Linked DNA regions of Elephas maximus indicus. The protein of the gene in region 1 interacts with the protein of each later gene in a biochemical or structural test. Links are inferred from orthologs where the notes say so. Each region holds a gene or a part of one and is shown in the gene's direction. Other genes may lie near its edges. The genes, in order: NEDD4, ESS2, WBP2 and FGFR1.

What was found.
Region 2: the proteins of NEDD4 (region 1) and ESS2 interact in a test that uses a peptide from one of them, tested with the Homo sapiens proteins (2 studies listed by BioGRID and IntAct, with this or other methods). The link is inferred for Elephas maximus indicus from reciprocal best matches to the Homo sapiens genes NEDD4 and ESS2.
Region 3: of the proteins of NEDD4 (region 1) and WBP2, one has a biochemical effect on the other in vitro, tested with the Homo sapiens proteins (6 studies listed by BioGRID, with this or other methods). The link is inferred for Elephas maximus indicus from reciprocal best matches to the Homo sapiens genes NEDD4 and WBP2.
Region 4: the proteins of NEDD4 (region 1) and FGFR1 form a complex in vitro, tested with the Homo sapiens proteins (2 studies listed by BioGRID and IntAct, with this or other methods). The link is inferred for Elephas maximus indicus from reciprocal best matches to the Homo sapiens genes NEDD4 and FGFR1.

The regions. Positions count from the first base shown.
Region 1 is NC_064831.1:46,258,123-46,266,092, reverse strand, and holds the start of NEDD4 (E3 ubiquitin-protein ligase NEDD4), read left to right. Parts: upstream 1-4,963; 5' UTR 4,964-5,041; coding exon 5,042-6,544; intron 6,545-7,970. UniProt on the Homo sapiens protein: E3 ubiquitin-protein ligase which accepts ubiquitin from an E2 ubiquitin-conjugating enzyme in the form of a thioester and then directly transfers the ubiquitin to targeted substrates. Specifically ubiquitinates 'Lys-63' in target proteins.
Region 2 is NC_064840.1:34,786,534-34,793,639, forward strand, and holds the start of ESS2 (splicing factor ESS-2 homolog), read left to right. Parts: upstream 1-4,099; 5' UTR 4,100-4,148; coding exon 4,149-4,283; intron 4,284-5,496; coding exon 5,497-5,665; intron 5,666-5,754; coding exon 5,755-5,850; intron 5,851-7,106. UniProt on the Homo sapiens protein: May be involved in pre-mRNA splicing.
Region 3 is NC_064837.1:66,099,832-66,107,121, reverse strand, and holds the start of WBP2 (WW domain-binding protein 2), read left to right. Parts: upstream 1-4,273; 5' UTR 4,274-4,304; coding exon of another isoform or gene 4,305-4,363; intron 4,364-6,179; 5' UTR 6,180-6,200; coding exon 6,201-6,307; intron 6,308-6,508; coding exon 6,509-6,617; intron 6,618-7,290. UniProt on the Homo sapiens protein: Acts as a transcriptional coactivator of estrogen and progesterone receptors (ESR1 and PGR) upon hormone activation. In presence of estrogen, binds to ESR1-responsive promoters. Synergizes with YAP1 to enhance PGR activity.
Region 4 is NC_064840.1:62,287,205-62,294,575, forward strand, and holds the start of FGFR1 (fibroblast growth factor receptor 1), read left to right. Parts: upstream 1-4,370; 5' UTR 4,371-5,027; intron 5,028-5,034; exon of another isoform or gene 5,035-5,322; intron 5,323-7,371. UniProt on the Homo sapiens protein: Tyrosine-protein kinase that acts as a cell-surface receptor for fibroblast growth factors and plays an essential role in the regulation of embryonic development, cell proliferation, differentiation and migration.

The DNA.
Region 1 (7,970 bases):
AGTGTGTTACTTTTCCTGTTGTTACTGATACTGATGTGAATTTCTCCCTGATTTTTGGGTGAATTGTTGGTGAACTGCTTTATTGTTTGAGTTTTTTGCATGTTATCTATAAGAGGCACAGCTTTCTAGCCTGCATAGTTGTCTAGTCCTTCTTGACAGTAACTTTAGTGTGGTCTGACTGTTCATTGCTGAAATTGATATTTGTCATTTACTGATTGGTACATTAACATTTGTTGAGCATTTGTTATAAATTTAGTAGTGTCCTTTAGTTGGAAAGGAGCCTAGTGGCACAGTGGTTAAGTGCTCAGCTGCTAACCAAAAGGTCTGCAGTTCTAACCTACCAACTGCTCTGTGGGAGAAAGATGTGGCACTGTGCTTCTGTAAAGATTACAGCCTTGGAGACCCTATGAGGCAGTTTTACTCTGTCCTAGAGGGTTGCTGTGAGTCAGGCAGAATTGACTCGATGGCAGAGGGTTTGATTTTTTAGTTTTTGATGAGTTGGAAGAAAAAAAAAAGTTACTCTGATGTTAACGATTGGATGTTTCCAGATTGGTAAATATAACAAAAATTAAAAAAAAAACTTTTAAGTAAAAGCAAAAACAAAAAAAAATGCATTAATCATGATATTGTCTATCTCCACACCAAGGAGTCAGCAGCCCTGTTGTAACCCTGCGTCTGCTCTGGCATGTTAGCTTGTAACCCTGGGCAAGTCATTCAGTCCCTCTGAAAATAGTTTCTCGTGTTTAAAAATCAGGGATAACAGTATTTGCCCTGCTTATCATAAATTTATTGTTAAGTTTAAAATGAGACAGCAGCTATGAAAGCGCTCAGAAAATTATTCATGATACAAATATGAAGTGTTATTTAACATTTGTGGATACATGTGTTTATGGCTCTCTGATGCCATATTTTTGTATTAACTGAGGTTGCCTTTTAGTGTACCTACTGAGTTAGATGACTGCTATGCATTAGAAATACAGCTACTTTTCTCAAGAAGCTCACTTTACCAGCCAAAGGGAGCAAGAGACAATTAGAACAGAGTGGTGTGTGTCGTTCTGGTCCTTTGATTTGTTGCTAGTTCTAGCAGGTAATTGAAATGTGTAGGTCACTGAGATATCATAGAAACTGTGGCTATAGTTAAGCACTCGGCTGCTAACCAAAAGGTCGGCAGTTCGAATCCACCCGCTGCTCCTTGGAAATCCTGTGGAGCAGTTCTCTTCTGTCCAGTAGGGTCACTGTGAATCGGAATCGACTTGACAGCAGCGGGTTTGGTTTTTGGTTATAGCTGTTGGTGGAGTGAGACGTGATTCTCCAGCAGTGACTGGCCTGTGCACTGTGATGTCATTCTACCTTTATTCTCCTGTAGCGTTCACAGCTAAATTAGGGACACATCCTTTTCTTAGCAAATTCTCCTGGGAAATGGAAGGAGACGGCGCAGTTAGAAATCTAAGCAGAAACCATTTCTTGTCATCTGGAAAAGTTTTACAATATAACTGATATTTGCTTTTGAGAAAGAGGTGGCTTATAGACCCTCTTTTTCAGCCAGTTTAATACCGAGAACTATAAGCTGTAGTAGTGGCTTGGTGGGTCGTGGTGGTGGTGTGGACAGTGTTGGAATGTTTCAGAGTGGTATGCCTTTAAGAAGATTTTACCCACCAGTGCAAAAGTTGGTGCCTCTGTTCACCGACCTAAAGTTCTATATGCACACATCTAGCCACCAAGGATTTAGCAGACTGCTTTGTCTTGAGTGGAGATGCTGTGCTTCTCAGGTTTAATGGTCTCTAGCCTTCAAAGCTCTAGTCAGTGGTTAGGGTTACTCAGAGCCCACCCACACCATGTATGCAATCACATTGTTTTCTGTGTGTGCAAATAATAATAACCAAAATATCTCAGAATGTGGGCCATAAGCTTCCATCTAATCCTGAGACATTATCCTTTTAATTCCAGAATATGAAATTCTATAGGCCTTGCATAGGTTCCTGCTATAAGGGGCTACCTCTAAGCTTCTACTCTCTAGCTCTTTCTCACCTGAGTGAGGGCTGAGGCTTTTCTTTTGGCAACTGCTGGGCTAAAGGCCTACATTTTACCCCAGGTTCCCCAGGCTCCACATGGCAACTCCTGGGCTAAGGGCCTACATTTTACCCCAGGCTCCCTAGGCTCCACATGGCAGCTACTGGGGTAAGGGCCTACATTTTACCCCAGGTTCCTCAGGCTCCACATGGCAGCTGCTGGGGCAAGGGCCTACATTTTATCCTAGGTCCCTCAGGCTCCACATGGCAGCTGCTGGGCTAAGGGCCTACGTTTTACCCTAGGTTCACCAGGCTCCACATGGCAGCTGCTGTGATGGTTCTACAGATCCTGTACGATCCCAGACCTCAGCCCACAGTGCAGGCTGTTCAACCTCTCTAGAATTTAAACTCAGACTGGGTTTCTAGGAAATGCATGTATTTCTCTTACCTTTCCTTGGCTGGGTTCCTTTCTCCAAAATTTTCAAGCATCACTCCTTCTTATCCAGCTGCAGTGTTTTTTAATATTTCTTTACAAGTAGCAGCTGGATCAACTTAAGTTAAAAAAATAACACAAAACCTGAAAGGCAGTGTTGGGCAGTCAGAGTGACTGCATGACCGTCCATCCACTCAGCCTTCTCTCTGGTTCTTTAGTGCTGAGTCTGCCTGACATGAGCCCAAGAGGTCAGAAGAAATGTACAGTTGTGGTCCTCACATTCTGGAAGCTTTAAAATCTAGTTAGGGGACATGAAACTAATGCTTACAGCGAAGCTTACCAATGAGAAGACATTCATCTGGTCACATACATGGGTTCATAATTTTATATTAACTGTCAGGGGAGCTTTGCTTATTGACTGGACACTTTAGGCCAGAGACACGAGTGGTTAGATCTCTTTTGACTAGTCGTCTAAAAATAATCTGTTCTTTGAGTCGTTAGACCTCTAACTTAACCCAAAAAGGAAAGCTGAAGTCACTTGAAGGCAAAGTAAAAAGATTGACTGTTTCTTCTATAAAGAAAAAGGATGATAGGAGAATATTTGCAGAAGTCTGTATAATCGTAAGGGAGGCTATATGAAACCAAAATAACATGAACTTTATCGCTAACTTTGTAACTACTGTACACTTTCTAAAATATAGTACTATCTCATTCTTGTCAGAACTATAATAAATTCCCATATTTCTAGTTTGTCAAGTCTTAACTAATTAAAAACACTGTTCAGAAAATTGTGATTGAAAGCAGATTTATCGTAAGCAGTTTTTTAAAAAAAAAACAAGGTACAAGTATATGTTTTATATGTTTGCTTTTGCTTAGGAAAAAAACTTACTTAGAAAAATACAGCTTGGGTGTAGTACCATGTGGTATAAACAACGGAACTATTTTACTTTTCACTTTCCTATGAATGAGCCAGTATATATTTATTACTGGAGTTCCAACTATAAAATTCAGGTAAGGGGTTTAAATATACCCTAGAGTATTATTTAAAAATAAATTTGTTTCTTTCAAGTAGAATACCAACCTTGGTCAACGACATTTGGGGGAAAAATTAAAATATTAAACTTTTATTACCTAGTAAACTGAAAATAAATGAAAGGTTAAATAAATACAAAACAGAAAAAAAAGCATATGTACAAAAATCACAACATCTAAGAGGACAAACAGTCTACTGTTTTCCGTGGTAGGAGCTTTATCGGTAGTAGTAAGTAATTCCACCTCGAGGGCAGTGCTTGGTACTCAAAAATGTAAACAAATATGCACTTTGTTTATCTAAAGAAATATGCAGCGTGGCTTGTATTTCTTCGGCGATATCTAACAGCTAGAAGGATGGTTTCAAAGCACCAGCAGGGGCCAGCAAAGGGCTCTTCCAGTTCTTCAGAACAGAATTGGCGCTGAGATATGTTTATTTGATGTGTTAAATCTTTTTTAGACTTCTTTCTTACCACAGCCCTCTCTTAGCTGAATGAATTGCAGAGACAGTGGAATAAAATATTCTATGTGCTCCAGCTATATGGGCGTATAGTTTTTCTGCCTAATCTGCATGTATTTTTAATGGAATGTTTGCTTAGCCTATTTCTTGGCAGAGTTTTAATAGTCAAAATATAAATGGCATCGTTTAAAGACTGTGCTACTTGGCTGGAAAAGGCCTTAAGATTACAGGAGAAAATGCTTGGTGACAGTTTCTCTTAAACTTTTTTTCCCTCGGTCCCATGCTCAATGTTTGTAGTAGTATTACTATGCTAATTTTGTAGTTCTGTTCCTTACAGTTTCAGCTTTTATAACTAGCAATTGGAAGCTAAACTGTTTGTCTATTTGATTTAATGGTAAAGTTTTATTTCACCCCAAAGTTTTCGTATTTCCAAATTTTGAACTGTTTGAACTTACCATGTAAAAAAATTAACTGTATATATTCCCTTCTACATTAACTTGATCGGATTCCTAGTATGGCAACTATTTGGAAATTCAATCCTTGATTTGATACTCAATTACATGAGGTTTCATTCCTACCAACTTCCTGTAATTCTATACCTACGGGTAAAAATATTAGTGGCCAAAGTCGGCCGGAGAAAGTACAGGCACAGTGGTTCCAATCGTTAAATGTGCATTTAGTAGAGCTGGAGGGAAAACATACTGTTTCAGCTTGAAATGCTAGGAGATTGTTGTTCCTGTGTTACTCACTCATGCAAATTGGAGAAGGTATAATTGAAACAAGGTTGGCAGTGTTTGAGTCAGTGTGCTGCTGCTGAGCTGAGCTGAGCTTAAAGGTCGCTGGAAATCAAGTGCTTTGTGAGTGAAGGCGTTTTGACTACAAGCGATTCAAGACATTTTGGAAACGTCATTCTCAGGACTGGGTCGTCTTTTTCTTTCTGTGATATCTGGTATCTAGCGTTTTACTAAGGGTGAAGGCTGCTGCTTAAGACTCTTTCAGATACCACAAATGATTTTTTCTTTCGATGCAGTGCAGCTGCTTCTAGCCTGTCTACGGCCAGAGATCTTTGTTATGACTTTCAGCCCTTAACATGCTTGGAAATGAGAACAAATGGCACAAAGCTTACGATTGCACTTTGCAGCCAGAAGAAGCAATACTTACCCTTTGTCAGAAAGCTCCGGAGATGATTTGGAGAGCAATGTTCACATGTGCTTCAGGAGACCTACACGGATTTCAGCGTCTAACGTGGTTCAGATGAAGCTGACTCCCCGACAGGCTGCACTGGCTCCTTTAGTAAAGTCTCAGGAAAGATCGTCTGAAAATGTTAATAAAAAGAGCAGCTGTCTACAGATTTCACTACAGCCAGCAAGGTACAGTGGATGTCTTCAGTCTAGCAATGTCTTAACCGATGGTAATGACGCCTCCCTTACTTGTGTCTTGAAGGAAGGCATTGACAGCAATACTGTGGTTGATCATGAACTGAGTGCTGTTTGTAGTGGTAGCCTTAGTAACTTTTTAGCCAGTGATAACGGGTCTTACAGCAGCAATGGTAGTGATTATGGGTCGTGTACAAGCATCACGAGTGGAGGCTCATACACTAACAGTGTCATCAGTGACAGCAGTAGCTGTACTTTTCCACCAAGCGATGATCCTTTTTTTGGTGGAAACTTATCTTCTGAGACCACGTCCAGTAGGAGTGTGCCAGACAGGAACCCTACTCCATGTGACGTTTTCTCAAGAAGTATGAGCACAGTTCCCTTTGTCCAGGATGACCTGGACCATGGGATAGAGATTATGAAGTTGCCGGTGAGCAGGAACTCCAAAATTCCACTGAAACGTTGTTCCTCCTTAGTTGTTTTTCCTAGGAGTCCTTCAAATACCCCACCAACTTCTCCAACAAGTACAGGCACTCTTTCAAGCAAAGGATCCTATCAGACTTCACACCAGTTTATTATTTCTCCCAGTGAAATTGCGCACACTGAAGATGGTACTGCTGCTAAGGGATTTCTTTCAACGGCTGTCAATGGACTGCGGTTATCGAAAACAACTTGTGCTCCTGGAGAAGGGAGAGACATAAGGCCACTTCACAAAAAGGGCTCGTTACAAAAGAAAATGGTTATTTCAAGTAATAGTCCAAAGCAGACTGTCTGCGAAGAGTCACCCGATGGATATTCTTGTGTTTCAGTGCATTTCACCCAACAGAAAGCAACTACGTTTGATTGTGAAGCAGCAAACGGTGACTGTCAACCAGAGATGTCAGAAATGAACCGAAATTCCGATACAGAGTATACTAAGCTCACGCATAGGACATCTGCTTGTCTACAACCCAACCAAAGTACCGATTATCAAATAAATATCAGTGGACAGTTGGAAAGACCAAATTCACAGACAAACAAAAACCATGCTACTTTACAGAGGAGCATTTCACTGGGAGGAACTTATCCAAACGTTTCCTGTTTATCCAGCCTTAAGCACAGTTGTTCCAAGGGGGGACCATCTCAATTACACATAAAGTTTGCCACTGGAAATGTAGGTAAAGTTAGTGATTTATCCAGAGACGGCAACAGAGATGTCACAGATGAACCATCTCATTCTTTGAAGCATTCTCGAAAGGTACGTTTCCTTGGTCTTAGTAAATGTTAATTTATACTAGAATAACTTAAAGAAATATTTGGCTAAAATTTGCTATAACTTAACCCAGAACCCAGTGCCGTCGAGTTATAACTTAGCAGTTTTACGTAATTCCTTGGTTCTTAACTAGCAAGTATTTTGTAGTAATGAACTTTGTATTTGAAAATCTGAGGAACTCCCTAATAGTATTCCACTCCATTTGTTATTTTGCCAATGTAAAAATTATATACATTAGAAAAAAAAAAACTTTCCTAAGTGATTTAAGCCATAAACATTTCTGTAGTATTAAAATAAGCTTTGAACAATAATTTATTTCATAACATTTTGTCTTGATATGTTTTCCTTCAAGTGACATGGTATTTTCATATCTAACTTCATATTCTATCCTTACTTTAGAAAAGGATCATTTAATTTTCTCCCCTCCTTAGTCATTATGAAATAAAGTAGAATGTAAAATGCTTATTTAAAATACTAAATGATAAAAACCCACATAAAGATGTGAAGATCTTGTTATTAATGAACACAGAGGAAATGTTTCTTTAAAATGTTTGTATTTATTAGATCATTGATAAAAACTATGATGTTGCATGCTTAGCACAGAGGAAGAGTAAGTGGCGTTTGCATTTGTATATACCCTTAACCACAGGAATTTTGTTTCCACCCTATTTTTCTTTAGCCACCAGTTTAGACTGCTTTCTAAAATGTAACTCAATATTTCAACAGAATTAAATTCTAAATTTTATACTTAAAAATTTTTTTGATTGCTAGGCATTTCCCAGAATTTTCTAGTTACCTTATTAATAATTTTGTTGTTTTGATATTTTTGCTTTATTATATTAGTAATTTAACTCAATTGAATCTTAACCCAAACATTTCCTGCTACAATTTGACTTTCTGAAGTGTTTCAAACTTAAATTTTTTGAATTTCTATATTTGGAAGGTCTTGCCAGATTCTAGGACATTTAAAAAATTATGTGACTAAACCAGTTCTGGATGTCGGTATGCAAAAAGTAAGCTTATCTGTTTATTACTGTGTTTATATAACGTCCGATGTATTAAGGGTTTTAAAAACAAAACAACTGGTCAAATAGCTTTAGGTAAATAAAATACTAGGTAATTGTTAGTTTTCTGTTTTGAAATTTGGTAAATATAGTCGTTGTTGCCCAGTGCCCAGATGCCAATACAAGCAACTTATTTTACAGAGGATAAAAAGATGAGATTTCAAATTCTGATCTATGCTTTATAATTATTAATTCCATTTAGAAAACTTTTTAAAAACTAGTTTTTAGGAGATTATAAGCCATTCAGCTGTTTTCTCCCCAAAAGAAAGCAGTGAAGTGATATTATGGATAAACAGATTAATAGTTTTCTAATTGAATTACATGCTGCTGATAAATTAATTTTACAC
Region 2 (7,106 bases), on another chromosome or scaffold:
GAGGAGGGCATGCTCAGCCCCTAGTGCCCTCTCCTTCCCCAGTGAAGGGGAGGGCTGGCAGGGGAGCAGGTCCCATGGAGGAAGGGAGCATGCAGGCCAGACTCCCCAAAGCCCCTCAGGAAGTGCTAACCCCACACCAGAAAAGGAACCACCTCTTATGAACACGGGGACCCAGAGTCTTCTCCACTGGAGTCTCCTTCCCCACTTGAGGACATTCTGCCATTCTGCCTCTCTTCTCTCTTCCAGTATGGACATACAGTCCTACTTGGTCACAGCTGACCTGGCGTACTACCTCGCCCCCCACCTGGATAGGTGCTGTGGGGGGTGGGGGAATCTGTGCACATCCTAGTGTGTCAGGACCTATAGAATAGGAAGATTGGATGATGTAATCCCCAGAAGCCCCCTCCCCTGCTCCTTAGTCCTGTGAGTCTCATGTTGATACTGAGAAATAAAACAAGCAATTAGACTGCAAAAGCAGTCCAGAGTATGAAGTTCACTGTGTGGCTCCCCTTCAGAGCCCAGCTGGGGCCCTGCCCCTCCTCCTTCCTTTTCAGGGATTTGAAGCCTTGTATGTCTTTGGGAGGGAGCACAGTTGAGGGAGCCCTCAGGTGGAGTGAGCCTGCACAGTCCCTGTGCCAAGCTTTCCCCCAGCAGAGCAAATTGCCCCCTGGATCATAGCCTGGCACCCTGGGGTCAATGCTGGCCACTAGGTGCTGTTAACCCACTTCATGGGTGGCGGGTTCCTTGGTTTCCTCCTCTCTGGAGGGTTTCCATGCTGTGGTGTTGGCCTCTCACAGGGCAATCAATCTCTGCCATCCTAGGGTAGGGAGGTTGGCCTGGGAAGACCCCCGCTGCTCTGGAAAATGCTTACCCTTCCCTCCATCATCCTGGCCCCAGGGTGAAGTATAGCATGAAAACATAGTTTCTGTTCTCCAAGTGGGACCATACAGTGGGTCCAGGGAACCCAGCACCCCCTTCATCTGACTTGGGAAACTTATTTTGTCTCTCTGTAGTTACTGGTGGGAATTGGGGGAGGTGTCTCTGGCAGGGGAGCCCCTGGGTGGTATAAAAGGTTAATGCATCAGCTGGCTGGAGGCTCAAGTCCACCCAGAGGCACCTCAGAAAAAAGGCCTGGTGATGTACATCTGAAAAATCAGCCACTGAAAACCCTGTGGAGCACAATTCTACTCTGACACACATGAAGTCACCATGACTCAGGATCAACACGATGGCAGCTGGTACTGAGTATCTGGCAGGAGACAAAGTCCAGCTATAAAACATGCAGAAATCAGGGCTTTAGCTCCTGGGACACTCCAACGCATGGTGTCCCTCAGCCCAGACTGCCCTAGTATGCTGGTAGAGCAGCTTTGTGACAGCCAGAAGCCTCAGGCAGAGGCAGAGGTTAGCTTCTGGCTGTCACAAAGCTGCTCTTCTCCCTGAACCCTGGCCTCGCCCTTGGAGACTGCACTTGTAGATCTAAGGACATGACCATATCCTGGCCAGCATCCCTGAAGACTGGGACACCCCCCCTCTCACTGGGTTCCAGGCCCCTTGTCTCCTTTGGCTGAGTGGATATTTGTTATTATGCAGGGCAGCCATGAGTCAGAACTAGCCCGAGCTCCGCCTTCCAGGGACCAGTGGCTATGCCACTCTCCTGGCATTTCTCCTTCCTCTCTAGCTGCTCACCTGGCCATTTACATAGGCATTCTCAAGACTCAGTCCCAATCATTCCCCTCCCATCTCCATTCTTTCCCTGGCTTTTCTCTTCCACCCTCAGGATCTGGTTTTCTTCTCTCTGCCACATTTACATGTCAGTCCCAGGCCTCTCCCCTGACTGTTCCCTTGACTACTCCACCTGAAAGCCCACAGGCTCCTCAGCCACTTTGTCCACAGTGAACTCTTCCCAGGTTCAAACCAAGCACATGAGCCAGGGGGCTGATAATCACCCTGACTCCTCCCTCTTCCTCACTCACCATACCCAGGCCAACAGCAAGTTGATTTTACCTGCACAGCCCCACCCCTCAATGTGTCTTCTCTCCAGCTTCTGCTGCACCATCCTGAACCACCATTTCTCACCTTGACTATTGCAGTTGCCTCCAGGCTTGTCTACTTGCACCCACTCTGTCTCCTCTAATTCATTCTCCATAAAATCCAAGTGCAAATCTGAACCTACCTTTCCCCTGCCTGCAGCACTCCAAGGGCTTCTCATTGCTCCCAGAATAAGTTAAAACTCACCATGGCCCATGAGGCCTTGTGTGGCTTGGGTTCTGCACCTCTGGTGTCATCTCATACCTTACTCCTCCTTGTACTCCAAAGGTCAGCTTTGGAACTTGCCTTGCTCCCTCCCACCACTGGGCCTTTGCACATGCTCTTTCCTTTTTCCCTGATCAATGCCTGTTCATCCTTTGGCTCTGCAATCACTTTCTGCTCAGGGAAACTTCCTCTGACTTACCCCACTGGGTCAGATTCTCCAAATACAAGCTCTTTTCTTGCACTTGTCACAGCTGCACTTTTATGCTTGTTTGTGGGATGATCTAACTAGTGTCTGTCTTCCCCACTGGACTGTCATCAATATGAGGGCAGGAACTATCACCACGGAGTCCCCAGGGAATGAAAGGTTGACTGCATACTATAAAAGTAAAGTTATACTAAATTTGTTTGGGTAGAACTTATTTGATGTGTTTCTCCTTTTGGAAAGAAATTATTCCTGAAAAATGCTTAAGACAACTTTTGGTCCACTTTAGTGAGAATTAGTCCTCTTCTGGGAAGCCCACTCTGCTGATTGTCATTCAGGGACCTAATGATCTTTAACTAGACATTTCTTTTTTTTTCTTTTTGAATTTTTAAAAATTGTGTTTTAAGTGAAAGTTTACAGTTCAAGTTAGTTTCTCATACAAAAATTTATACACACATTGTTATGTGACCCTGGTTGCTCTCTCTATAATGTGACAGCACACTCCTCCTTTTCACCCTGGATTTCGTGTGTCCATTCAACCAGCTCCTGTCCCTTTCTGCCTTCTCATCTAGCCTCTGGACAGGAGCTGCCCATTTAGTCTCAGTTCTTACTTGAACTAAGGAGCACACTCTTCACAATTATCATTTTATGTCTTATAGTCTAGGCTAATCTTTATCTGATGAGTTGGCTTCAGGAATGGTTTAGTTCTGGGTTAACAGAGAGTCCAGGGGCCATGTCTTCTGGGGTTCCTTCAGTCTCAGTCAGACCATTAGGTCTGGTCTTTTTTACTAGAATTTTCATTCGGCACCCCACTTTTATCCTGCTCTGTCAGGGACTCTCTGTTGTGTTCCTTATCAGGGCAGTCATTGGTGGTTGCCAGGCACCATCTAGTTCTTGTCCCAGGCTGATAGAGTCTGTGGTTTATATGGCCCTTCTGTCTCTTGGACTCAAATTTTCCTTTTGTCTTTGGTGTTCTTCATTCTCCTTTGCTCCAGGTGGGTTGGGACCAATTGATGCATCTTAGACAGCCACTCGCAGGCTTTTAAGACCCCAGATGCCACTCACCAGAACATTTTCTTAAAAAACTTTGTTATACCAATTGACCTGGATGTCCCCTGAAACCATGGTCCCCAGGCCCCCACCCCTACTACTCTGTCTCTCAAAGTGTTTGGTTGTATTCCAGAAACTTCTTAGCTTTTGCTTTAGTCCAGTTGTGCTGACTTCCCCTGTATTGTGTGTTGTAACCAGACATTTGTTTATTGAGCCACCATGCTTTTTTTGTCGTTAGATAACTATCAGAAAATAATTGATTTTTTTCTTGCATAAAGTTTGAATTTAAACTTTGAAACGCGTATATAACCAAAGTTTCTGAAGAGCAATTTTCGTTAACAATATAGATGGCACACGTAGTGATTAACTTTTCACCATTAAAGTGAACACACGCCGCCGCAACCGAGGTCCTCAGCATCCATAGCCCAGCCACGCTGACGAACGTAGGGCAGGACGGAGGCTGCAATTGCCTTCAGGCTCAGCGCTCGTAGTGACGTCACATCGCAGCGCAGGCCGGCCTTCGACGCACGCAGCTCCCCGGTTGGCTGGCTGTGTAAAGCGCCTGCGCAGTTGGTGCAATTCTGATGACGTTCCCCTCCGCCCTGTGACGCTTCTGCGCCGTCGGAACAGTGTTGGGATAGCAATGGAGATGCCGGGAGCTTCGGCCCGGGTCCTGGTGCTCCCCAATGCGCCGGGGTCCGGGAGGAAGCGCACTGCGAGGGCAGCGGGGGCTGCAACGAGCAAGCAGCAGATCCTGGACGAGGAAGAGTACATCGAGGTACGATCTTGGTGCGGAGGCCGGCCCCTCCCCGCTTTTTGGTCATTTCTTGTCTCTTGAGTTGCTCCTTTGGGGTCGTGGCGCGCCCCTTGTCGCTTTGCAGAGTTGGAGCAGCCCGAGTCCTTGCCCTTGGGGTGTGGAGTGTCCCGAGGGGCAGGCAAACAGTGCAGAGGGAGGTGTCTTTGAGGGGCGAGGTATTAGTAGTGTTATCAGGGGAAGGAGGCGGCAGCGGCTCCGTCTGTATGTGGTGGGGGTCAGGGAAGGGAAGTTTTCTGTCAAAGAATGAGTAGAAGTCTGGCAGAGCGGAAGGATGGTGGCGAAGAGGGCGATGACAGCAAGTGCAAAGACTAGGTGCTGGAAACAGGCTGCGGTTGTGGCGGCATCATTGAGTGCGGAGACCTTGGTGGACCCTTGAAGTGGGTGTTGGTAACTTGAAGTCGGTGTTGGTCCTACTGTAAACATGTAGAAGGAATTGGCAGGGGGATTGGAGGAAGTTATTTCGCTTTTAGACTGGTAAAATTTGGGATGCTTCTGGGATATTCGGAGCTCTGGTGGCGCAGTGGTTAAGAGCTTGCTGCTAACCCAAAGGCCAGCAGTTAGAATCCACGAGCCGCTCCTTGGAAACCCTGTGGGACAGTATTGCTCTGTCCTGTAGTGTTGCTGAGTCAAAATCGACTCAATGGCAAGGGATTTGGTTTGGTTTTGGTCGGGGATATACAGGTAGGTGTTATCTGTGAACAGCTGGGTGCACAGGTGTGGAGCTTAGGAGCAAGTTCTCAGACAAGCGTTGTCTCAACTGGTGGTAGTGGTGGTGTAGGCCATGGGATGACTGGTTGAAGTCACCCAGGGAAAAAAGAGTTTAGATTGGAAACAGGAAGTGGTGGCAACACTCACATTAGTGGCAGTGGAGGTGACAACACTCACATTGGTCCTGCTGGTACTGTGGTGGAGCCAGCAAAGGAGAATGAGAACAACCAATGAAGGGAAGAGCGAAGGGTTTTGTGGAAATCGAAGGAGAGTTTAGTAGTGTTAGATGTTGCAGGTATGCCACACAGGATGTTCTTCCCTGATAGAAAGTGCCCCCAAGCTCTGGGAATTGGTTGGTTGCTGGTCATTGGGGCAAGCAAAGGTTGGAGAGACTCAGCAACAGTGGACTTAGAGGTGGGGGTGCCCAGATGGCGACTGTGACTTCTGTTCTGATCTCTCCTGACAGGGCCTCCAGACAGTCATCCAGCGGGACTTTTTTCCTGATGTGGAGAAGCTACAAGCACAGAAGGAGTACCTGGAGGCCGAGGAGAATGGAGACTTGGAGCGAATGCGCCAGATCGCCATTAAGTTTGGCTCTGCCCTGGGCAAGATGTCCCGAGAGCCCCCGCCCCCCTGTAAGGACTCTGCGGGTGGCAGAGATGAGAAAGCCAGCTGAACTGTTGCCTCAGGCTCGCTCTAATCTCCATCCCCTCTCATCTCCTAGATGTGACTCCAGCCACTTTTGAAACCCCTGAGGTGTACACAGGCCCTGGCATGGTGGGCAGCAAGCCCCAGCCCCGGGGCCGAGGACCAGAGGATGGTGAGTGAATGCCCTCCTTCAGTCCCACAGTTAGGATTGCCCAAGATTCTCATCCTATGAAGTCCTGAGGTGGTCTAAGAGGGCTGTAGATTACTTCTTGTCCCCCAGGGGTCTAAGAGCACTGGTCTAGGAGACGGAAAGATCTAGGTCCCTCTCCCAGACATGGGGCAGTTCTTTGAGCCTCTGGCCCTCCTCTCTAGAATGGGAATAATGCCACCTCCTCCAGACTGCTCATTGTGTGCCAGGCACTGCCCAGGCACTTCATGGACCTCAGAGTGCTCCTCTCCTGGCTGTTTCCATAAGACCCCTCAGAGCCTTTGCAGATAACTGTACAGCTTGTTCCTTCCCTTCCTTCAGGCCTCTGCTCATATGTTACCCTTTCAAGGAAACCTTTCCTGAGCTCCTAATGAAAAGTAGCAACACTCCTGGCACTTTGTGCCTTCCCACATGGCTTTACTTTTCTCACTGTAGGGCCTAACATTAAAAAAAAAAAAAAAAATCGTATTTGTTTATTGTCTCTCCTTACCTAGCATTCTCTCCGTGAGAACAGGGACTTTGTTTTGCTTCCATCTGTATCGTTAGCATCTAGAACAGTGCATGGTATGTTGTAGGCATTTGGCAAATATGTGTAATTTGAACAAATGAACAAGTTGTCTCCCATGTGTTTACTGGGGTGTAAGGCATTCAGGTATATACGTTCCATTCAAATTTCACAAGGAAGTTTCTTAGGGTAGAGCATTTTGAGTACTGTTCAATATGAGTGTATTGGAAGGGGCAAACTTCTTGGGGTTGAAAGCCTGTGACTGGGACTTTCTCATATTCAGGTTATCTCCTTGTCATTAGTAGAATGTCATTGCATGCACAGTTGGACAGACGTTATTTTCTACTAGGTTGTAGCTACGGTATGCTGTGCTAACATGGATGCTGTGTGTGTCCACAGAGATGTGATGTCTTCTGCTTCAAAACCCAGCTCTTCTCACATTAGCACATTCCATCGTGTTGTGTTCTCAGAGCTTGATTCTCCAGGTGAAATTTGACACATGAATCACCTTATCTGCCGTAAATACAGGAATTCTTCCAACAACTTAAGTCGTAGGTACCATTGTCATTCACATCCACCGATGAGGAAACTGAGACTCAGGGAGTGAAAAAATGGTGTGGTAGCATCTGACTTCCTTTAACTTCACAAGGCGGGAGGAGAATCAAGATCATCAGCACAAGCCTGATCACTGTGAGGTAGAGGTCAAACATACCTT
Region 3 (7,290 bases), on another chromosome or scaffold:
GGGCAATTACGTTGTTGTCGTTACTTGCTGTTGAGTAGATTCTGACTCATGACAACCCCGTATGTCACAGAGTAGAACTGCTCCATAGGGTTTTCTTGGCTATAATCTTAACAGAAGCAGATCACCAGGCCTTTCTTCCACGATACCATGAAAAAAGATGATTGTTACTGGAAACAGGCTCATCATCTCTCATCATCATCATACAGAGTTGCTTTGAATCAGAATTGGCTCAATGGCAATGGGTTCGGGAGACCCGGTGGTGGAGTGGCTAAGTGCTCGGCTGTTAACTGGAAGGTCCGCTGTTTACCCATCAGCTGCTCTGCAGGAGAAAGATGTGGCAGTCTGCTTCCGTAAAGATAACTGCCTTGGAAACCCTGGTGGTAGTGGTTAAGTGCTACAGCTGCTAACCACAAGGCGGGCAGTTCGAATCCACCAGCCACTCCTTGGAAACCCAATGGGGCAGTTCTGCTCTGTCCTATAGGGTCTCAATGAATTGGAATTAACTCGAGAGCAATGGGTTTGGGTTGTTTTTTTGTTTTGGTTTAGAAATAGGCAGCACCTATGAGATGCTGTGTAGGATAGAAGGCAGGAGGGGTCAGAGTTCTGAGGCCCAGGCCCAGAGAGAGGCTGTCACTGCTGACTGGGTTCAGCAGTGAACTGTCACCGAGCCCTTCAGTGTGGGTGCTGGAAACAACAGGCCCCATCCAAGGCCTGGGAGTGGCCCTAGCAAAGTGTTCACATAGCTATATGTTTTTATAAAATTTGCATAAGTCAGACATTTTAGCCGAAATCTCTTAAGCCTGCTATCTCTTTCCATTCCCACTTTCTCTTCATCGAATTTCCCCTCCTGTCAGGAGGCCTCAGTGTGGCCACAGGTATTTTGTACTCACCGTTTATTTGTTCTTTAAAGAGGGACTCTGAAATCATATAAGCTCGGGTCCCACCAAACCTAGAGCTGCCTCTGCCTCCAACCTAGTTTGGCAAAGGGGTGAGGGTGGGGCTGGACTGTTGTTCCCACCTTCCTTTTTATGATCCTTAGAGCAGACATTCTTGCAGACCCAATGCTGGGTGGATGTTCTCTTTCTTTATGAAATTTATTATTATTTAAAAATGTACATAGTAAAAAAAGCCAAAGAGTATGTAATGCAAATTGGGTCACTAAACCAAAAAAAGAAAACCCAAACCCATTGCTGTGGAGTCGATTCCGGCTCATATCGACCCTATAGAACACAGTAGAACTGCCCCATACGGTTTCCAAGAAGCAGCTGGTGGACTCGAACTCTTGACCTTTTGGCTAGCAGCTGACCTCTTAACTACTTCTCCACCAAGGCTCCAATTGGGTCACCACCCCACCCCAAACTGCCGGACCCATGTCTCATAGGGATAATACCACATTTTCTGGTGGATATTTCCAGAAATTAAATATATATTATATAAAACTAAACCAAACCCATTGCCACTGAGTCAATTCTGACTCATACTGATCCTATAGGACAGAGTAGAACTGCCCCATACGGTTTCCAAGGAGTGGCTGGTGGATTCAAACTGCCGACCTTTTGGTTAGCAGCGGGAGCTCTTACCCACTTTGCCACCAGAGCTCCATATGTACATATATACATAAAAGCCAGTCGCTGTCCAGGTGAGTCCAACTCAGGGAGACCCCATGTGTCAGAGTAGAACTGGGCTCCACAGGGTTTTCAATGGCTGATTTTTTGGAAGTAGATCACCAGGCCTTTCTTCTGAGGTGCCTATGGGTGAACTCAAACTTCCATCCTTTCAGTTAGCAGCCAAGGACATTAACCATTTACGTTAAAAAAAAAAAAAAAAAAAAGTTGCCATCGAGTCGATTCTGACTCATAATGACCCTATAGGTCAGAGTAGAGCTGCCCCATAGGGTTTCCAAGGCTGTAATCTTTACAGAAGCCGACTGTCGCATCTTTCTCCCATGGAGCAACTGGTGGGTTCAAACCACCGGCCAAATGGAATGCCTAACCTCTGTGCCAACAGGGCTCCTTACCATTTACATAGCTCCTATTTTTTATATGAATGGAAGCATATTTATGCACCATTCTTTACTTGATATACCTTAACAATTTTTCTAGGTCACCACCCAAACCAAGAAACCAAACCAAACCCAGTGCTGTCGAGTCGATTTCAACCCATAGCGACCCTATAGGACAGAGTAGAACTGCTCCATAGAGTTTCCAAGGAGCGCCTGGCGGATTCAAAGTGCCGTCCCTTTCTTTGGTTAGCAGCCATAGCACTTAACCACTACACCACCAGGGTTTCCAGGTCACTACCCAGAGTTAGACAATTCTTTTTAACCCCTGCACAAAACCCTGGTGGCCTTGTGGTTAAGTGCTAAGGCTGCTAACCAAGGAAAGGGAGGGCACTTTGAATCCGCCAGGCGCCCCTTGGAAACTCTATGGGTCAGTTCTACCCTGTCCTATAGGGTCGCTATGAGTCAGAGTCGACTCGATGGCACCGGGTTCGGTTTATAGATCACATGCACCAGAATTAATGTAACCAGTTGGGGTAGATTTCATCATGTCCATCCTTAATTAATTACAGTTGTCCTCATGGTCCAACTTGATCTTGCACAAGACTTCACAGAAGACTGTTGTCTGTTTCATGATCTTGTCTGGTGAGGTGGGTTTTCGATCCTTTATCTGGGAAATCTCACTCAAATAGCCACGCAGGTGGATCACGAGGTTGGTCATGACGTGTTGGGAAATCTGCAGTCTGCTTAAAAAAAAACTAGGCTCCCTTAAGATTAAAGATAGACCAGAACCCTCCATGAGACAGGTCCCCACGTTCCCCCTCAAAGATCCGCCTCCGGGTCGCGGGGTTTAGATAGCCAAAGCCGTGAGGCACGCCCAGTGCTGGGTCACAGGCTGAAATGAGCCAGCCCTATTTTGTAAAGGACACGGTCTGACTGCCGGTCTCTCATTCAGTTTTTCGGAGTTTATATCTTCCAGCCTGGACTCCGTAGGGCGGGGCCGGAACGCAAAGCCAGAGCATCGTTCTAGAGGCAGCAGCGCCGCCGCGAGGCCAGCCGTGGTGGAGGCGGCGGCGAGGTTGGCGCGCTCCCAGCCGAACAGTGGCTCTTGGGGGTGATCACGTCTGGGCGCCAGAGCCAGCCTCCGCTCCCCACCTACGGCCTTGGTGGGTCTGTTTGATTTGATTAAAGGGATGACGGTTTTTCTGATCCTTTCTTCTCTGCCAACCAGCCACCCCACCACTCTGAGAACAGACCCTAGCGACTACACAAGTCCGGGAACATTGTTGTTGTTAGGTGCCGTCAGTGGGTTCCGACTCATAGCGACCCTATGCACAACAGAAGGAAACGCTGCCTGGTCTTGCGCCATCCTCACAATCGTCCTTATGCTTGAGCCCATTGTTGCAGCCACTGTGTCAATCCACCTCTTTGAGGGTCTTCCTCTTTTCCGCTGACCCTGTACTTTGCCAAGCATGATGGCCTTCTCCAGAGACTGGTCCCTCCTGACAACATGGCCAAAGTATGTAAGGTGTAGTTTTCGCCAACCTTGCTTCTAAGGAGCATTCTGGTTGTACTTCTTCTAAGACAGATTTATTCCTTCTTCTGGCAGTCCGTGGTATATTCAATATACCATGCTGTAGCTCTTAACCACTAGACCTCCAGGGTTTCCATTCACTATAAGTCGGAATCGACACGATGGCAGTGGATTCTCACTGAGGGTGAGGGTGGGGAGTTCACAAGATTCAAAACCAAAAACCAAACCCCTTGCCGTAGAGTCCATTCCGACTTAAAGTGACCCTATGGGACAGAGTAAAACTGCCCCACAGGGTTTCCGAGGCTCAAATCTTTAGGAAGCGGACTGCCAAATCTTTCTCCCAAATATCCTCCCGCCGACCTATCAGTTAGCAGCCAAGCACTGTAACCACTACGCCACGAGGGCTCCTGCACACGGGTCTTCTTGTTTGTTGTTCGGTTCCCACACAGGTTTAGGGTTAGTCAATCCAGGCCTCTTATCTGGGAGACTACAAGTTCCAGAATGCATCCTTTCATTAGCATAGGGAGAGGTCGAGGTTGCCAGAGCATTACCTCCTGGGACTTGTAGTCTTCACCTAGTTTGTGACGCAGGCGGAAGTAGAAGGAACAGGGAGTAAACCATAGCACGTGACGTGAGGGATCAGGTGGTTGGCCCAGCCTCCGCTCAAGACCTATGATTGGCTGACTCTAATACGAACGACGCCACTGGGGGCGGGCCAAAGAGGGGCGCAAGCGCACTGCACTGAGAGTCTCGGGACCCGTTTCCGAGACTATGGCGCTCAACAAGAATCACTCGGAGGGTGGCGGAGTGATCGTCAACAACACCGAGAGGTGAAAACACTGCGGAAGAATCCTGGGGGGGGCTGAAGGGCGGGTGTCTATGGCGCAGCCAGTGGGCGGTGGGATGTGGGAAATAAACCCATAAGGAGGAGAAACTGATGAGGTGCGGCGGAGGGGGGGGAGGGGTAACGGCTGGGGGGAGGGCTGGAGGGAGGTGGGTGGGTCGCGGGGGTGGGGCCGGAATGTTTCGATCAGCTGCGGAGGGGACTCGGCAGGGAGGGGACGGGGTTTCAGGAGAGAGATGGACCCCAGGGGTGGGTGTTGAGCCCCTTTCCTAGAGTTGATGACTTTAATAAGAGCTGGGAAGAGCCTTAGACAAACATAATTGTCATTTATCGGTTGTTTACTACCTTGCTACGTGTCGGGCCCTGCGCCTGTTCTACCCAATTTAATACATACCATTTTGTGCGGCAGATACTATTATACACATTTTACTGGTAGGAAATCTAAAGAACAGAGAGGGTAAATAACTTGGCGAGATCATAGAGCTGTAAATAACAGAGATGGGATTCCAGGAAATGAGTCCTGACCCAAGTCAATAGGCTTAACTGCAGAGAAGCTGAGGCTCCAAATGTGAAATAGATACTGTTTGTCAAGTGTCTGACAGTTCCTGGCACGGTGCGGGTCCTTGTGAAGGTTGGTCCCTTGCCTCTTGTCACATGCTTGCCCAATTGATTCTTCTCTCCTTCAACGTGGGCATGGCTCTCTGCCCTCTAGATTTTTGGCCACTGAGAATCAGACCAGCCAGCCCTCATTTGAAACGTGCTTATCTTGGAGTCAGAAGGAGCTTAGGAACCTGAGTCACCAGAGGAGAAATGATGGAGTCAGGGCCAGCATCCAGCTCGGGACCTGTCACCTGGGAGTGCTCGATGAGTCAGAGGAGACAGTTAGGATGAACTCGGACTTCCGAATTCTGACTCCCCCTCCATCTTAACCTACCCAGATACCCCGACTGTTTCTAGTCATTTCTGTGAGCTGTGCTTTTCTATTATCAGTTCTCTTTTCCACTTATCCCGCTCCCCTCCCCAGTCAAGAATGTTATATTTGGGAGGTGGAAGGAGACAAATGGAGCCGTGTGAACTTGACCTTTTTGTTTTATAATCAGAAACCTCATACTGCTCACTGGTTTGTAGCTGTCTGTGTGCAGCCAGTTCCTGGCTCTGGGCAAACACTCTTGGGAACATCTCCTGGGGCTGTTTTTCTTTCTCTCTCAGCAGGACTTTTCTGAGACAAAAATCTATTTTGCTCGTCCTCCTACCTGGTTCAGTGCTCCATGAGTATTAAAGTAGGGTGTGCCTAGCTTTAGGAGATTCTTCGGCCTCATTTCTGGGGAAAAAAAAAAAAAAATGTATATATAATAATTGAAATTTAAAGCCAATGTTTAAAATAAACCAAACAAGTTGCCATTGAGTCAATTCTGACTCATGGTGACCCCGTATGTATCAGGGTAGAACTGGGCTCCATAGGGTTTTCAGTACTGATTTTTCAGAAGTAGATCACCAGGCATTTCTTCCACAGCTCCTCTGGGTGGACTCAAACCTACAGCCTTTGATTAGCACCTTAGCGTGTTAAGCGTTTGCATCACCCAGGGCCTCTGATGTTGAAAACAGTGAATCTTAATCTTCGTGAACCCTTTTGAGGGTAATGAGACCAAGGGGCCCTCCCAGAGCAATGAACATGCGCAGGCATTTCAAGGGCTCCCCGATCCGGTCCTGGTGGGCCCAGGTAAAGAATCTCAGGCTTAAAGGAACCCTAAAGGAAGCCTTTTTTTTAAGCTACAAAGTCACATCTTAGAATTTTTATATAGGCATAAGAAACAAATCAAGAAATGGAACAGAACACCTATCACAAAATAGAAGCATTAACCCAGATCATCCATCCTGCCTCTGGAGGGGCTTTGGCGTCTCGTGACTGCGCTGGTCACGTGAGGGCTGTGTAAGTGAGCTTTGGAGGACTTCTCCGGAACTCCACCTTGTACGTGTCGTTGACGGGTGTATTAATGGTTTCCTCCATTTATACGAGAGGGGGTGCTGGACAGCTGCTAATAGGCGACTGCTCACCTGGAAGGCCCAGTCCCAGGAGGTCCAGAACCTGTTTCCACACAGTCTCATCTCAGCCTGTCCCCTCTTGTCACAGCATCCTGATGTCCTATGACCATGTGGAACTTACATTCAGCGACATGAGAAACGTGCCTGAGGCCTTCAGAGGGACCAAGAAAGGCACTGCCTACCTGACCCCGTACCGGGTGAGTCGCATAGAGGGACAGTTGGTTTTGAGGCTCGTTGCCCTCGAAAGGGGGTGTGAGTCTCAGGTCCGCCTTGGCCTCGTGGGTCCATTGGCCTCTGAACCCTTGCTCTGTGTTTCTCAGTCACACGCTCCCAGATTCTAGACCCACTGACCTCCTTATGTAGCTGACCTGGTCTCTGGGCAACGGATCCACGCAGATTCCAAAGCTGCCACTGTGAAGTCTCTGTGTCGTTGGATGTGGCTGCTAGCATGACCCAGGCCTGGAGTAGAGAGGCTTTATTATCTCGTTTTCTGTCAGAGTAGCCGGTGGGGCTTCCATGTACACTCAGAGTGACAAATGTGCAGCCAGAACCCAGCAGCATGGCCTCGCCCTCTGGACTGGATAGAGAGCCTGGCAAACCCACAGAGTGAGAAGTGGCAGGGCATTCCTGGGGGGGTGGAGAGTTACCCACCCAGACTCTGAGAGGTTTCCGGAGGATAATGCCTATAGCTCCCCAAGGGTTAGCCTTATAGACATTGAAGGAGAGAAGCAGGGAGTGGGGTGTCACAAAACCCCGTCTTTGGGGGTTCAAGTTGGCATCTTCGCTCGCACATTCTAGCCATGGTTATAACACCCAAGGGTGTTACACCAAGCAGGGGGTGGATGGCTCTATTGCTGTTGGGGCAGAGTG
Region 4 (7,371 bases), on another chromosome or scaffold:
AAAGTCAGTTGCCTTCCAGTTGATTTCAACTCATGACGACCCCATGTGTGTCACAGTAGAACTTTCTTCCAAGGAGCCTCTGGCTGGACTTGAACCTCCAACCTTTTGGTTAGCAGCAGAGCATGTTAAGTGTTTGCACCACCCAGGGACTCCTCTCTAGTCTTGCCTTCCTCAGTTACCCAAGATGAGTTTGTAGATTTTCACATCATTTGTCATCCTTTAGGATTCAGACACCACTTCCCTGAGCCATCTCCTTTTCCACCAGGCCTCCTGACCTCTCCTCCCAGAAAACCCTGCACGTGCATCTGGGTGGCACTACCTATAACATTTGGTTTCTCCAACAAGACCTCCTTGAGATGGTGCCCTTGTCTCTTACATGTTTGGATCTATTGTGCCCAGCACAGTGCCTGACACACAACAAGTGTTCCCCCTCCCCATGCTTGGTGAGTAAATGTACCATTAGGATCAGACAAGCTGAACTGCTGCTGTTGCTGGCTCCGCTTCCCGCTCCCAGTTGGTAGGAGAGAGTGAAATGTTATTTACAAAAACACCAAGCCAAACAAGACCCTCCCTTCCCTGACATGCTGAAGCTGTGCTAGGAACAGCCAGGGGTCACCAAATGGTGGCCAGATGGTAACTGACGGCTGCTCCCTAACTCCAGGGGCCTGGGGCAAAAGCCTTTGCCGCCCACCTGCTCCCAGGGACCTGTGAATGATCCACTTCTTAGGGAAAACACAGACAGTCCCCTCCTCCTGAATCCCCTTCTGCAACCCGCTCTCAGAGCTGAGCCTGCCAGTTGCCAACCTGTCTAAGGAACCTCTAGCCTTGGGCTAGAGCAGAACCATGGCCCAACCTCGCCCAGTACAGATGTCCCTGGCCTCCCCCCACCTCCTTAGTGGTGAGGTCTTCACTCTGCAGTACCTACCCGGTGTAGTAGGGTGCTCGTCCCTGATGGGGGCTGCTGGAGCCTAATGAAATAACCAAATTCGGAGCAGGGGTGCATTGGGACAGTGGGAGTATGGCGAGAGAGGAGAACTACCTCTCGGTGGAAGAACTTCGAGGACACAAGTAGCCTGAAGAAGACGGGAGGGATTTTCTGCAAGTGTTCCCAAACAAAGAGAACTGAACAGGCTTTGGGGAGAGCTCTCTTTCCCTTGGTTTCATTCAGCACCATTCCCCTCCCGCCTCAGATCCGGGAGGCAACAGGCCCCCAACTGGTTATCAGGTCCTCGAGCATGAGGGCCTTTTGTCTCCCCCTCAGACATCTAGCTGGCAGGGCAAGGGGCCTACAAATCCTCCCTGACCCTCCCAGCTCTTTGTTATCTCAGAGGGAAGATTACATTTCTGTGTGGGGAGGCAAGGTGCCAGGAACCCTCAGTGCAGGACAGGCGGGCAGAGCTGCCGTCTGACCCGTGCTGCCTGGGGCGGTTCAAGCGGCCCTGGGGATGCTCTCCTCCACTGGCCCGGGGCCTTTCTTCCTGGGACTGAAGTGCAGGGTCTGCATTTCAGAAAGAGAAGGAGGGGAGTGGCACGGATGAGGAGCGGGACCAGAATGATAAAAGCAGTCAGCTCTCAATTATTCAGGAGCCCTGTCTGCGGTCAGTGTATCCCTCCATTAGTTTCTGGATTCTTCACCTCCATTCCTTCCAGCCGTATCTGACTGTTCCCCTAAAAACTCGGGGAGAGAGAGCTATCAAGTTGGCTACTTGCTTCATTTTGGTTTCTTGCTAAAACTGTAGAGGAATTTGTTGGGCGGCAGGCCTATGTGCCTCAACACCAATCAGACAAGACATCTAGATCATTCTGTTTAAATCCAGGACTCATTCTTCAGCCTCCTCTTTTGGGTTCAAAGCACTCCCCAAACGCTTCCAAATTAAAATGAAAGAAAAAAAAAAAAGAGCTCGATTTAAAATCTCATGAGCTTTTTTTTGTTTGTTTGTTTTAAAAGAATCATAAGGAGGAAGGATGATACTCTCTCTTTCAGGGATAAAGTGGGAAAATAGTAGTTGTGTGTTAATATTAAATTCTGGATTTTCCATGACTTATCTTCTCGATCATATTCCCTCAAATTGTATTTCCTCTTGTGCTAACCCAGATTTGTTACCCTCATCAAGTCCATCAACAACAAATATGTATAAAAAGTCTCCTGAGTACAGACTCCTAAGCTAGACTTGATACATAAAAGGGATCCTTGCTCTAGAACAGTTCAGAAGCTAGCTAGACAGAACACAGAGTAAAAAAAAAAAAAGACAACTAACAAAGGCTATTTTAAGTATCAAATGAGTGGGTTATACCGGAAGGTCAGTAGGAGTGCCAAGGATTGAATGGGGCTGGGAACGGCAAAGGAGGTGTCTCTGAGTGGAGAGGAGTGTGAGTTTGGCCTTCTTACAGATGGATGAGCATTATTTTAAAAGCCGAAGGACTAATGGGTGGACAGCTTATATGGAAAAGTAAATGTAACCTGTCCAGGAGCTGGAGGGCTGAAGGGATGAAGGGGTGAAAAACCTGTAAACAATGGCTGAAGTCCATTTATTCCACCAATAGGTGCTTTCCTGCCATTTAGTTTTTGATTTATTCATTTATTTAACAAATATGTACTGAATATTTACTCTTCGGTCAGTCAGTACACATTTATTGAGTGCCTAATTTTTTTTTTTTTTTACTATGTAGATGATGTTGTGTTGGTCACTATTCTTTCACCTGCTGGTCAAATGGAGAAATAACCTAGGGACTCATTCCTTTGTTTGGGAAGCCCAATCTCGCTCTATATCCGAACCTTTAATGACCTTGTGGATTGGGGTGGAGTGGAGGTGAGAGAACAGGCCCTGCCATTAACTTACGTAGTTATTTCTATTTGTGTTAACACTTTGGGTGCCCTGACTGTCATTATTTTATTTGATTTCGTGACAACCTTGTGAAGGAGTCCCGACAGATACCTCTGTCTCATTTTTTTCAGACAGCTGACTTGCCCAAGCTCAAATAGTTCACAAGTGGAGGACCTGAAATCAGGTCTCCTTCATACCCAATAAGGCCTACCTTCCACCCTCCCAGTGGCCCCCAACCTGGCCTCACATCACAGGCACCATGGGAGCCTCAGAAAAAAATACAGATTCCTGACTCCTTGGAGCCTCTGAGTAGGTCCAAAAATTTATATTTTTAAAAGTTCCTCAGAGAACTCATGTACATTTGGATTAGGCAACTACTAGATAATACCAAAGGAGTCCTGGTGGCAGAATTGGTTAAGCGCTCGGCTGCTAACCAAAAGGTCGACAGTTTGAACTCACCAGCAGCTCCGCAGGAGAAAGATGTGGCAGTCTGCTTCTGTAAAAGATTATAGCTTTGGAAACCCTATAGGGCGGTTCTACTCCATCCTATAGGGTCACTATGAGTTGGAAGCGACTTGAGGGCACACAGCAGATTGTATCACTCTGTTGCAGAACCCAAGGGAAAGAACGTTTTAGCCACCTTTTCTGGGGTTCCTTACAGCAATGCAGGGTGCGGCATGGGTGAGCTCTGATTAATTTCCAAAACAACACTCATTTTTTGCTTTCTAACATTCCCAGCAGGCCCAAGAATGGCGCTGTAGAGTTTACAGGGCCAACTTCCCGTGGGCCACAAAACCGAAGGGAAGTGATTGGGGAAAGTGAGATTGAAGGGAAGGCGGGGATTGACCTTCACATGAATTAAAAAAAGAAAAAGTTTTGTATTTATTGAGTGTTAACTATGTGCACATAGCTATGTCCTAGGCTCTAAACCTAAAACCAAACCCGTTGCCATCAAGTTGATTCTGACTTGGAGTGGCCCTATAGGACTGAGTAGAACTGTCCCGTAGGGTTTTCTCGGCTTTACAGAAGCACCCTGCGCGGAGCGGCTGGTGGGTTCCAAGCGCCGACCTTTCAGTTAGCAACTGAGCGCGTAACCACTGTATCACCAGGATTCCTAGCTCAAAACCTACATCTCATTTAATGCTCAGCTCTATATGTAAAGTACTGTTATTATTTCCCCTTTTACAGATGGGAAAATCGAGAGTTAGAGTGAGTAAATCATTTCCCCAAGTCACACATTCAGACTCCAAAACCTATGCTGTCAGGGACAACTTCAGGGTTATCCCGTCAAACCACCTCACTCCCCAAACTGCCAGTCTGCCCATGGCCTGAAATACGGGCGCCTTACTCCCCATGCTCGGCTGGAAGGGCGCGGGCGCCAAAGGAGACCAGACTTCAGAAAAGGAAGGCAGGAGTGCCGGCCAGCTCAGTCCCGCTGCCCCCTTCTCCGGGGCTGCGGCTGAGAACTACAAGGCCCAGCAGGCAGCTGCAGGGGGCGGAGGAGGAGGTGGGACTAGCGGGGTGTGGGAGTGTGAGAGCCCTCGCGCCTCGCCGGCGCACAGCGCTCGGAGCGCTCCTGCGGGCACTGGTGCGGAGGGCTCGGCAGCCGGCGGCGGCGAGCAAGAGTGGGAGCCCCGGTCCAGCCGCAGCGCCGGAGGAACCCGGGCCGTGCCCGGAGCGGGGCGGCAACGTCCGGACAGCACCGAGACTCTGCTTAGCGCATTGCGGCGACCTCGCCTACCCCAGCGGCGAGCTCGCGCCGCAGCTGGAAAAGCAGCCGAGACCGAGGACTTTTCTCCGGTCCGAGGGGGCGCTCCGCAGGTCGCACCGTACCAGTGCTGCAGTCGGGCACGCCGCGGCCCCCGCAGGGCGATGGAGCCCGGGCTGCAAGAAGCGTGAGCCACCGCCGCCCGGTTCGGCGGAGGGGGGGCGTAGGGTCTGGAGACCCCGGGCGGCGGACAGGAGCCCTCCCCCCTCCCCGCCTCCGGGGCACCAGCTTCGGCTCCATTGTTCCCGCCCGGGCTGGAGGCGCCGAGCACCGAGCGCCACCGGGAGCCAAGCGCCGGCCGCGGGTTTCTTGCGGCCCGGCGAGAATCCGAGCGGTGCCCGGGGGCGGCGGGCCGGAGCGGGGGACGCCGGCACCCGCCCGCCCGCACAAGCCACGGCAGACTCTCCAGAGGCGGAACCGCAGCGCCGAGTGAGGTAAGAGCCACGGCGCCCCCAGATCCGGGGCGGGCTCGGCGTCCCGAGCGGCCCCCGGCGCTGGAGCTTGCTGGCTGCGCGCTTCCCCCCACTGTAGCCCAGTCGGGTCCGGCGCCTCCCTCCACTCGTTACCCGCCCCCCCACCTCTGGGCTCTGCGCCCCTCTTTTGTCTCCCCCTCCGCCCGCGTCGCCTTCTGCGCCCCCTCCCCGCGCTGGTCCCGCCGCTCCTCCTGCTGCTCAACTTTTCCGCCAACTTGTGCTTTGGAACTGGCGAGGCGGCGGCGGCGGCGCGGCGGTGAGTCCGGAGAGGGCCAGGGCCAGGGCCGAGGCTGCGGCGGCCCTGGGGCTGCTCGACCCGGGAGGAGGGCGGGAGTGGGCAGCGAGGTGGGGTGTGTGTGTGTGTGTGCGTGAGTGTGTGTGCGTGCGTTGCATTCCACTCCATCTCATTTTGGTCCCTTCCTGGTGACTCACCCCAATCCAGCAGGTAGCCTTGGACTGAACGCTAAAAATCTGTGCTATTTCTAAGTCCTTTTCTTCCTCCGGGAAAGCCTGGGGTCGGAGTTGGGGGTGGGTGGGTAAGGCCTTGAAGAGGGAAGGAAGGGGAGGGGGCAGGATCGCTTCTCTTCGAATAGGTTTTAAGGAGGTGTCGTCACCAAATGGCTGAATCTGCTTTAGCGAAGGGCGAGGAAGGAATTCCTCTTTCCAGAGGAGGTTATCTTCTACTTAGTTTGGGGAAGGGGAGCGCACCCAGCGGGTGATGTTACATCCCATATGGGGGGAAGAGGGGAACGTTTACTTCCTATCTAGTTCTTGGAGGTGGGGGAAGGGATGAGGGTTTTCTCTTGTGAGGTTCACTCTGTAGCGATGCCTGTGACTTTTCTGGCCCAGACCCCTCTGCTCCCCGCTGCCCCCTCACGTTATGTTTGGGGTGGGGAGAAGGGGGGCTAGAACCCTTTTTTGCAGAGGAATTTATTGACGTTTTAGGTGGGGCTCATACAACACACCATGAGAAGGCAGCCAGGCACCTCTTTTTGGGGTGATGGGGTGGAGTGGGAGGGAAACCGGCATGTCCTTTCTGGGCCCAGAGCTATTAGCCCTTTAAAAACAAAACAAAACAAAACAAAAAACAGTTCTGCGGTGTCTTTCTCCCGCAACACTTTTTTTTTTTTTCCTTTTTCCGTTTTCCAGATGTAGCAGCCGCATCTGGTTCCGTTTCACCCCACACGGGTACACCGAAGCCACATTATTACCATCCTTCTTCCTCCCCTCCCCCAAATGAAAATTAGGACTCTTCAACACGTTCTTGCCACCTCCGCCCTTAAAATTTCTAGAGACTTGAGGATGAGGTGGGATTCGGGGAGAAAAGAAAGTTGTCTTGGATCCCACGTTCTTTAGTTTCAGCCGTTGGTGATGGTTGGGATGCTTTCTAGATTGTGTAGAAAAAAGAGACGTCGTGGGAGATGGGGCCAAGGTTTTGGGGGGTGGCACTTACGAATGGTTCATCTGCCAGAGAAGGCCTCTTTGGCCGTGGGTCTGACCCAAGATTGGCCCTGATGGAAGTTTCTGGAACCAAAGCATTGCTGTCTGCTTCCTTCAGTTATCGCTGGAGCTGCGAAACTGTCTGCCCCTGTCCGGAGCCCGCGGTCCCTCCGAGAAGCCGGTCTGGGGCTGCCCCAGCGATGGCAGTCACACGTCCCTTTTGCACTCAGTGTCCAGTGGCCGAGGGTGGGGGCGTGCGAAGGCGGTGGGACTGCTGCTGCCAGAGGCGCTCCCTGTGTGTTTTCAAGGAGTTATTTGGGCTGCAGCCCCCGGAAACGAAAGTGGGGCACTTGACCATTTAAATAAATAACGGCTACGGCTACAGGCTACAGGTTTGAAAGCCGGGGTTGGATTGTTGAGTTGTCCTTTTGTAATAGCCTTTGAGGCAGGAAAGCACCTTCTGGTCCAAACTTGAGAGAAGGTGGGAAGAATTGGTCTCTCTCGCCCTCTCCCTTGCAGTCTCTTTCAAATTGAAAACACTTCTCTGGTTTCCTTCTTTGGGCGGTAGTTTTGGAGGCTGTAATGAAATCGCACTTTCTCTAGACATGGTAATTAAGGTGACTGTTTCCCTCCCAGATGTGCTATGCCCTGTGCACCTCCGGACCCGTGCTTTTTTTGGAATACTGTTTAAATTGTAGAACCTTAGCCTTGAGAAGGTTTAGCAGAAAGTAGCCATTTCCCCCCCTGGGCCAATATCCCAGTTTCCTCTCTGAGGCTAGTTTAAAAGCTAAGTAGCAGGGTCCCGTGGGATGTGCCTGGGTCTAGCTAATTACCCCCAAGCCTGGGTCATCTCTCTTCCTTTCAG